2 linked regions of the Neurospora crassa OR74A genome follow. The protein of the gene in region 1 interacts with the protein of each later gene in a pairwise test. Links are inferred from orthologs where the notes say so. Each region holds a gene or a part of one and is shown on either strand. Other genes may lie near its edges.

Region 1 (4,742 bases):
ACCTCAAGTTCCTTTCTTCCCGTCCCGCAGCTGTCTCCGCAACGTCGTGGCAACGTTCCACGTGCTGGAAAAAGAGATGAAGTGGCGCGAGGAGACAGGCAAGAGCACTCGCGGCTTCGGTGCCCTCAACACCCATAAACCCATTGTCGCCGTTGGTCCGGAGCACGCGCTGGAGGATGAGATCCTCGCGGCCGACCACTTCCGTAAGACAGACTGAGACCCCCACCGCTTTTCCCTCAGAAACAAAGCAGTTAACAAATTGCAGATGGTGCCGACGGTTTACATGGTGTCCACGAGAAGGTAAGTGAACTCCGAGGACTGCGTTGCGTTTCTTGTCATGGTACGTTTGACCTGACCACCGCCCCAGCAACCTCATCTTTCCCCCGCCGACACCTGGCGCTCTCTATTCAGCGACGAAGAGCCCCAGGGTGAAAAAGTCGAGCCTCCTTCGTACTCCAAGTACTTCACCCCAAGCAAGGCTCCAGCGCACAAGGAGATTCTCCGTGTCCTGAAGGAATCGCCCGAGAACACCGTCACCGTCGTTGCCGTTGGTCCCCTGACAAACGTGGCGCTGGCCGCTGCTGAGGACCCCGAAACCTTCCTGCGCGCCAAGGAGCTGGTTGTCATGGGTGGTGCCGTAAACGTCGAGGGCAACGTGACCCCCGTCGCCGAGTTCAACTGCTTCGCCGATACCGTTGCCGCCGCCCGCGTCTACGCCCTGACCTCGCCCAACCCGAGCTCGACCATGCCCCCTGTCATCCACGGCAAATCTTTTTTGCCCCCTTACCCCGCCAAGCTTTCCAAGCAGCTTAAGCTGACCCTTTTCCCTCTTGATATCACCACCCCGCTCGAGCTGAGGAAAAAGTACTTCTACGAGACCATCCAGCCGATCACCAAGTCCGGCAGCCCGCTTGCGCTGTGGATCGAGACCTTCATGACAGGCATCTTCAACAAAGTCGAAGCCATGCTTGGCGACGGCAGTGAGCCCGGTCTGTCCCTCCATGACCCGGCATGCATTTGGTACATGTTGACCCAGGATGACCCCGCATGGGAACCCGTGGCGAAGCCGGAAGATATTAGAATTGAGACCTCCGGCCAATGGACCAGGGGCATGCATGTCATCGACAGACGACAGAGGGCGAAGCCGGGTGAGCAGTCAAGCAAGGTGGAGACGCATCCGTCGGATCCTCTGGATGCGACCACCTTTGACGATGTCCCCGGAGACGACATGGGCTGGCTAAGCGTGAACAAGGGAAACAGAATTAACAGGATGGTCAAGACCCCCGGCGACGAGAAGTTTGCCGCCATCTTGATGGATAGACTCTTTGGTTGAACCTGCCGGCAGCACTTGTTGATTTTCTTCTTCTTTTGTATATAGAAAGCGAATCTATTCCACGCGGAGTTTTTGAGATCTGGGGTATCTGAAATCAATATTCGCTGGGTTCCTTAAACCGAGAGCTGGACCTGCCCGTGACACCTTGTTTTATTTTTTCTTCGTCGGTCAGCATAAGTCTTAACGGGGAAGTAAGAGGGGAAGAAAGATCGTCGATTGGGCATACCAATGTAGTAAAAGAAAACCTGTAGCTCCGCGTGTCAAATGCTAATGATGCAACCAAATCTTGTGTGCCACGCACATTATCCACCGGTGTTGTCCTTTATGTCAACTGCCCGCGACCGCCACACCGTTCGACTTTTGTCTTTTTTCCCCTTGGTTTCCTTCTCCTGCCTCCTCTTCTTGGTTTTGAGGGAGCGTGACACCATGCTTCACGCGCTCAGGTATAGCGCAGAAACGGTTCAATGGTTCGGTGGTATATTCTAGTGCTTTGTCGTCCCAATCGTAGCCCCCTTGACTTTGGTCCAGTCTATGCTCTCGTCCAGCGGCTCATCAACCAACCCAACCAGGCAGACCGTGTCCCCGCGAATCATGTGCGTTCCCAGCTCGATCTCGGCCGAGGGCTCGTCATCATCGGGGGAGCGAATGACTCGTTCAACTGCTCTTTGTAGGAACTAGTTTGTTGGAGGGTTAGTTGTCGTTCGCGATATGCTTTGTTTTGTTTATCAGGTGGCAGAGGAACTGTATCGAAGTATGGATTGGGAGGGAGCATATACTGACCACATTCGTGCTCATGTCTACCGAGATCAGTGTGCCTACTAAGGTGCGGCCATCGACTGTAATTATGCAAACCTTTTCTAAAGTAACGAAAGATGGATCTGTTAGCTTTCTGGTCTTGCGAATATCCTTTAACTTTGGGATGCCGTGACCAATTGATCTTGTGACCGAAGCAATGGAGGAAAGAGGAAGAGGGGTCGAAAAAGCCGAAGGGCTCAGGTAGAAGGGTAGACCAACTGTTGAGGTACGAATTTACCAAGCCCGCCGACATGGTGACGGATGAGTAGATGCTATTACTGTAGTCTTTGTGTGTTTTCTCGTACCGGCAATGCGCGGGCCCAAGACCGCGGTGATAAGCAAAGTATCACGTAAAGCCCACGGTCTAACTTGAAGAGTATTGATTCAAGCGAAACACGTGGTTGCAGACAGAAAGTCGTCGGTTCAACTCGAGGGCAATTTGTTCGCTTCGTGTGATCTTGGTAAGCCCGGCCGGATGGGGTCGTTTGGTCGTTCGTCGCTTCGAATGGGGCAATTGGTTCGTGGTTATTGATGTTTTCGTTTCTCGTTGACCGATCGCGAAAGAGGAATACAACCTGGTCGGCGCGCCGCGTCAAAGAAGAATAGTGGGTACGTAATGCTGGCGGGGAGGGATGTGGTTAAATCGTGGGGATGGGACAAGAACGTCGCCGTTGAAGCTGGAGCTTCTCTTGTTCTTCCGTAGAATCGCCAAGCCCAGATCACTGACGACGGCTCACGGCAGACAACGTACCAGCACTGTGGTGAAGGCTGGAGCTTCTGAAGCGGATCCATTCTCCACTCAATTGCCTGCCGCAAAAGCGACGCTCACCCATCAGCTTGCCCCTTTTCATTCGGGAGGGTTGCTTTGTTTACTTTTATCCGCTTTGGGGTGTCAATGCAGCCCTCAACTGTTTTCGGTTGCTGCTTGAATAATTGCCTTCATCATCGTATGGTCTACCATCAGAAATGCAGAGCTTTCTCCTCCTGGAGCTTCTCGTCGCTGACTTGCGGCAGTCTCAAAGAGCCCTATGAAATTCTGTGGAAGCTTATACGTATAGCAGGGCCAAGATGCGGATGTCAACGTCCACCATGGCTTGAAGGACTTCCATGAGACCATTCAAGCCCATTGAACCTGCCGTTCCCGTGACTCGGAAAGTTTGAACATGTCAATAATCCGAATACCGGCAGAGGTTGTGGTGTCTCCAGTCAGAACAGCCTAGGTAGAACCGAATGCGGAGGGAGATACAGACGCGAACCCCGCAGTAGGAGCCCCGCCCTACTGTGTATCTCTTGGACGAAGGCAGGGGACGAACATCTCCCGAAGGTGTACCAAATTGGCCAGCAATTGAACTTGTTCACCCAACGCAGCCAGTACATTTCCTCGCCATCTGCCGTCAGGTTATTACAGTTGACCTCGAGTATGTGGCGGCGGGACCTTGGTTCGGAGCTGCACATCAACTTTGAAATCATAGTGTGTACTGTGTGTTATCGGATTTGCTTTAAAAGAGTTCGGGTTGACTTAGTCCGAGCTTCCACCTGCATCCCCACTGACTTGGCATGCCTTTCCTCCCCTTCGTACGTTAAAACTCCTGAAGCATCATATCTCTTCACTGAACAAAGTCGTTCACGTCACTCCGCTTCACCAACTCCGTACAATGTCTTCCGGTAACCCAACTTCCAAGATGCTGGCGGCCAATTCGTTGAAGCAAATCTTCACCCAGGAAAGCCGCCCTGCTATGGGTGTCTGGCAGATGCTACCCGGGGCCAATATCTCGAGGATTCTCGCTCGATCGGGGGCTGACTGGGTAATGGTTGACTGCGAGCATGGAAACATCGACGGTAGGTAACCCGTAATACGGTGGTGAATGATGGGGCTTGTTGAGCTGAATGATATTGGTCAGATGCTGCGATGCACGAAGCAGTTCCGGCCATTGCTGCCCTGGGCGTTTCTCCTATTGTCCGGATCCCAGACCTTCAGCCATCGATGGTCAAGCGTGAGTGCCATTCGTATTGCCTTATCACTCAGACGGTTACTGATGTACCCTTTACAGGAGCGTTGGATAGTGGTGCGCATGGAGTGAGTGTATAAGAGTATCCTGTGTTGGAGACATTTTTCTGACGTGCTCCAGATCCTTGCGCCGCTCATCAGGACTGTTGAGGATGTCAAAAACTTGGTTACCGCGGCAAAGTTCCCACCCGAAGGCAAGAGAGGGTTTGGATCACCCATCGCTATGCAAAACTTCAACCCCATGCCAACCTTCACCGAATACCTCCAGCAAGCGAACGAGAGTCTCTTGACCATGGTGCAGATCGAGACACAGGAAGCCTTGGACTGTGTTGAAGAGATAGCTCCGCTTGTGGATGTCATCTTTATTGGTCCTTTTGACTTGGGTAACAATATCGGCCACCCGATTATCGAGGGAAAGATGGATCCGGAGCTAGATGAGGCTATTGACAGGATCCTGAAGGCTGCCGTAACGGCAGGCAAAAAGTGCGGCATCTTCTGCACAGGCGGAGAGCAGGCCAAGCAGTATGCCGACAAGGGATTCCATATGATCAGTGTCGCAACGGATTACACTTTGTTGGGAGCTGCCATGGCGGACAGCCTAAGCAT
Region 2 (5,280 bases), on another chromosome or scaffold:
CGCTGCCACTGAACCCATCCACCACATCCAATTCCCTTTTCACCATGCCCGTGCCTAAAGTACCGTAAGAACTAGCAGTGCCCGAGCTGCCAGCGATGCCGGTTTGCTCTTCGTCACTAAGAATCGCGGCCATGAGCAGGGCAGTCGATTCCACCATGTGTGGACAGTTGCCGCGCTGCATCCACATGGAGACGCGGGCGACGGCTAGGCGGCGTTCGTCTCCTCCATGTCGGTCTTGTCGGTCATTGTTATCCTCCTTCTCTGTTTCGGAGGAAATGGCAGCGCCATCGGTTCTTGCCCGTTTTCGAGTGGTGCGCTGGGTATTTTGTGCTGCACGTCCTCGTTTGGCTCCTGCTCCTGCTCCTGCTCCTGCTCCTCCTCCTCCTCCTCTTTGCGACAGTTGTTGGGGTTGTGATGCTGCCTGGCTTCCGTACTGGTGCGGGTAAAATTGCCGGCGAACAGCGAGGAGTTCGCGACGGTCGCGCCAGGGTGTGAAGATATACTGAACCATTTCCTCTTTTGCGCCCTTGAAATTCGGTAGTGGTTGTTGTGATGGCAGTTTGGCGTTGTCTCGATCACAGGATCCTGTCCGGTTTTTGGTTTGGTTCGCTGAGTCTTGAGCTTTGCGGTCAGGATGAAATTTGAGTTGGCGGAATCGCGTGGCAGTAGAATTTTCTCATATGACATGAAATATGAAGCTCATCCATAAACACCACAATGAAATAGGAAGCCGGTGCGAATCAGTTGTATGAACATTTCTGTCTCCTTGTCATCTCTTGATCGGTTGTTTTGGTTTCCGCGGTGGTAGTGGAAAAATGCTTGTTTTGTGTCGGACACGGACCTCTCAAACAATTTTTCAATTGCACCGTTTTCTTGGATCACGTTTTGAGCTCTACAGCTCTGCGTGCCCGAGGCCTCACGACCGCTATATTTCTCAAATCACTTCAAGAGACAACCATGATGGGTATCACAACCTGATCAGGCTTATTTGAACGGTTCCAGCGTCATTCGAACAAATAATTCGCGTTGCGAGACGGAAATTCATAAGGGCTTCAACATGCGGTGTCAATTCGTACAACTACCTATTTCCATGCCTACATGCCCTCATAGCCCACTACGGTATCATGGCATGCCTCTCCATGAACCGGGGGGGTTGGACATGCCACCTTCATGAGTCATCTGTACCTTTCCGGGCGAGTTCCCTCCCCTTTTCTCCTTTTTTTCAACCCTGGATCTATTTGGTATCTTCGTATTTCGCTGAAGCACCGCCATTGCACAGCCTTCGATCTACTCCATGTCCGATCGGGGATAAACACCTCCTTTGCGTCCAGTCGCTTCGCTCATGGTATTTAAAACTCGGCGTCCTAGTCAAAGAGTACTCTTCTTCTCTTCATCATCTTCCAGTCCATCAAGAATTTCGCATTGAGCTTAGGAGATGGTCTTCTCGATCATGGTAATACCGTACTTCTCGTGGAGCTCCTTCATCAAGGGCTCGGTGATGTCGGTGCTCATAGGAGCCAGAACGCCCTTGCCAGAGATCTGGCCGCTCAGGACCTGCTTAACAGCGACGGCGCAAGGAACACCGACGGTCTTAGCCATGGCAGAGTAGCCCTTGGGGTCACCGTACTCGACGAGGGTCGAGGTGCGGGTCTCGCGGGAGCCATCGGCGTGCTCAATCTCGAACTTGTGCTGGAGCATGACCAAGTCGCGCTCGCCCTCCTCGAACTGCATCTTCTGCTCAAGAGTGGCGCAGAGGGTGTCGAGAGGGTTGCCGCGGGGGGTGATGGTCTCATCAGAGAAGAGACCGATCCAGCGGAGCCCGCTGAGGATACGCTTCTGGTCCTCGGCGGACTCGAAGGTGGCCTTGGAGAGGATGGCGGCCTCGAGGTCGGCCTGGCTGGAAGAAGCAGCACCGACGATCTCCTTGGTGGCCTCCTTCCAGGGAGTCTGCTTGCTCAGGCTCTCGCGCGCAGTGTCGTCAAGGAAACCGATGTCGACAAGAGTCTTGATGAACTGAGGGAAGCCCTGGTAACGGAGAGTGCCACGGATGACGGTCTGAGCCTCGGGAATGTTGTAGCGCTCCTTGTAAATGGTAGAGTCGCGGTTAGGGTAGGCGACGAAAGCGTAGCCGGGGTAGATGAAGTAGGGCTTGGCCATCTTCATGAGGTCCTTGCCCTCAACCTCGACGATCTTGCCATCCTGCCACCACTTGCCGGCGTTGCGGAGAGCGAGCAAGACACCGCGAGAGGACCAGGAGAACTTGTAACCGAGCGGGTTGTCGGAGTCCTCGGGGGCGGGGAGACCACCGCAGTAGGACAGGAAGGAGAGAATCTTGCCGCCGGCCTGGTGGACCTCATCGATGGTCTTGATGGCGTACAAGTGGTCGATACCGGGATCGAGCTGCCGAGCGACTTAGTATGATTGAAAGCTTCGAAACATTTAATATGTCATGGACTTACACCAATCTCGTTCATGACGGTAATGCCGGCGGCCTTGGCCTCGGCATCGAGCTCCATCATAGCGGGAGAGACGTAGCTAGTGGTAACGACGTGCTTCTTCTGGCGAATAGCCGACTTGATGACGGTGGCATGGAAGGTATAAGGGATCAAGCTGATGACAAGGTCATGCTTGGCGACCTCAGCGTCGAGAGCCTCATCGTTGGTGACATCGAGGGAGATGGGGGTGGCGTTCTTAACACCCTCAGAGAGCTTCTGAGCAGAGGCAAGAGTACGGCAGGCTGTCGCGCACAAGCGCAAATGTCAGCCTAAATGCCCGTATTTTCGTTCCGGACTGTCGAACAAGAGGTGCATTGTTATAATTGACTGTTGACGTACCGACGGTGACGGGAATGCCAGCTTCGCTGAGGACATCGAGAGTAGGGCGGGTGACGAAGCCAGCGCCAAGCATGAGAACCTTGCTGAAGACATGAAACTTGAGGTCAGCATCCCCAGCTCTTGCGGTTGCCCGAGGTGAGGGCAGGATGGCGGGGGAGATGTATGTAGGGGGGGTAAGGGGGATGGCATTACTGTTGGGAAGCCATCTTTGCGACTTGTGATATCTGCAAGCTGATGTGATTCAGACGCAGTGTTTTGGTGTTTGTCAGGTTAAATCCGGAGGAGAGAAAGAATCAGAATTAGATCCCCCACACTGCATGCTCTCAAGCCGGCAATAGGTGACTTCGATGGTGTTATTGCCGTCCTTGTCCGCTAACAACCGATATCCAGACTTGACTCGCACTTCATCGCTCGCGGTTGGAGATGCAATTGGTGGAGCTCCGGCCGATAACGGCTTCTGGTCAGTCGCTTTCTTCCATTTTTTTTTTTTTTTTTTTCCTGACCTCAAACGAGGGGCACCCAAGGCGCACTGGTGTCGTTCCAATTGGCGCCAAGCACTCACTGGCGGGGTAGCAACACCAGCTTGCCTGCCGGACTTTACAGTAGAGGTACAGTCTAGCTGGTCGCCAGTCACTCTTGGCAGCTGTCAACCGATGGGTAGTGCATGTTTCTGGCGAACCACAAACAGGGACTGGAACATACTTGGGGGGTTCTGGGCGCCAAGGCTTTCTTTCCCCCCTACATTCCATGTAGGGGGAGCCGAAAAGTTGGGACGGTATTTTAAAATGGGACATCTGGAATCTTAGCGTTTCCTATACAAAAGTGTTAGCGAAGCGACTTCAGTCAGCAATTCTACTACGAAACTTTTTTCTAAAATTCTAGAAAAATTCAGGTATAGAATTCTTACTTATAGGAACCATTTTAGAAGCTTTGAAAAAATCATCCTTAAAGATGAGTAGATGGTAAGGTCCAAATGTATTTTATACACTATATATTGTCGCTTTCAGTGTGCTGCACTACGCCGAACGAAGGTGATGATTCTATAGTGAAAGATACTTCTATCGCTTCTATCTCCCTAATGTTTGTGCCAAAATTGATGCAATTTTGGGTACGCTTTTCTAGACGTGTCCTTTTACTTCTCAAATTTTCTTGGAATTTTAGAAAAAGGTTCCGTGGTACAATGATGATCGATGTCCCTCCGTTAACACTTTTGTATAGGAAACGCTAAGATTCCAGATGTCCCATTTTAAAATACCGTCCCAACTTTTCGGCTCCCCCTACATGGAATGTAGGGGGGAAAGAAAGCCTTGGCGCCCAGAACCCCCCAAGTATTTGACGGATTCACTTCCCCTGACGGCTGGCCGCTTATTCATCACTCTTGGCTTGATTCAGGGACGTCCCAACAAGCTCACGATGAGAGTCACTATGAACACTCAGCAAGACATCACATTTGCAGGCATGCACGGCGGCCAAGGAATAAGAGATGGTGGTGTGAATCAAGGACAGTGAGATCGCATGTTGTTCAGATATGTACATGTATTTATTTGCAGAGGTGGGTATCTTTGTCTCCTAAACAAAACAGGGAAAAAAAAAAAACGCAAACCAAAACGCCTAGCCACACATTCCTGATGTGTCGATGCATCTTCGATAGGGCTTCCAGCCCATATGCCTTTCTAGGAATCCGTCCCGTAAATGCTATGCGTGTCCCAAACCGTCGCCGGTGTAATGCTTCTTCTCAATATTTCATCATGCAAGTGTCATAATCTCGTGAGTCTTAGTCTTCCTCTTCCTCCTCCTCGTCATCTTCCTGCTCTTCATTGTCCTCTTCATCGTCGCTGGCAGGAGGCTCCCATGCGTCCTCGAGCTTCAGACCCTTGCCGGAGGGCTTCTCGTAGGCTGCGGCGTTTCCAAGAAGTGAAGAGACGGTAGACTGGTGAAAGTCCATGTCGGCGGGCTCGTGGGTCTCGGGGGGGTCGTACAGTCCCATGCCGTACAGAATCTCGCCATCAGATTCGTCGTCTTCCGGTGCCTCATAGGAAACAGGCTCTTCAGAGGCCACCTTGGTGTTGGTGAACTGCTCTGGCAGCTCGAAATTATTCGGTGTAGGCGGCGCTGTGTATGTGTCCAAGCCGCTCGATGACGGCGCATAGGAAGTCCATCCCATGACATTGCCTTCCGCCTTGGAGAAATCGGCGTAAGAAATATCGCCGACCATGCCAGCCATACTTTGGGGTGATTCTGGAGCCGGTTGGTAGAGCTGAATCCCTGGCGAGGCATACTGATGCTGTGATTGCTGAAAATCGACGCTGGGGTAGGGAAGTGAGAGCGGGGAGAAGGACGCCGAGCATGGCGAGTTGGAGCCGGAGTACACGCTTGGGGTTGGGGGCAGTTGCTGAAACTGTGTGCAAGCGCCAAAGTCTTGATAGGACGGGTAGGGAGCAAACGC

What was found.
Region 2: the proteins of NCU03085 (region 1) and NCU03748 interact in a two-hybrid assay, tested with the Saccharomyces cerevisiae proteins (2 studies listed by BioGRID). The link is inferred for Neurospora crassa OR74A from reciprocal best matches to the Saccharomyces cerevisiae genes LSM8 and LYS9.

The regions. Positions count from the first base shown.
Region 1 is NC_026501.1:4,492,342-4,497,083, forward strand, and holds NCU03085 (small nuclear ribonucleoprotein Lsm8), read right to left. Parts: upstream 2,862-4,742; 5' UTR 2,382-2,861; coding exon 2,348-2,381; intron 2,191-2,347; coding exon 2,114-2,190; intron 2,008-2,113; coding exon 1,816-2,007; 3' UTR 1,334-1,815; downstream 1-1,333. Other genes in the region: NCU03084 (inosine-uridine preferring nucleoside hydrolase, variant), read left to right, coding at 31-203, 266-300, 368-1,333; NCU03086 (HpcH/HpaI aldolase/citrate lyase family protein), read left to right, coding at 3,784-3,967, 4,030-4,122, 4,180-4,205, 4,258-4,742. UniProt on the Saccharomyces cerevisiae protein: Component of the nuclear LSM2-LSM8 complex, which is involved in spliceosome assembly. The LSM2-LSM8 complex plays a role in the biogenesis of the spliceosomal U4/U6-U5 tri-snRNP complex by accelerating PRP24-mediated annealing of U4/U6 di-snRNA.
Region 2 is NC_026505.1:2,286,449-2,291,728, reverse strand, and holds NCU03748 (saccharopine dehydrogenase), read right to left. Parts: upstream 3,325-5,280; 5' UTR 3,041-3,324; coding exon 3,027-3,040; intron 2,918-3,026; coding exon 2,835-2,917; intron 2,738-2,834; coding exon 2,460-2,737; intron 2,401-2,459; coding exon 1,429-2,400; 3' UTR 1,045-1,428; downstream 1-1,044. Other genes in the region: NCU11261 (hypothetical protein), read right to left, coding at 1-511; NCU03747 (hypothetical protein), read right to left, coding at 4,609-5,280.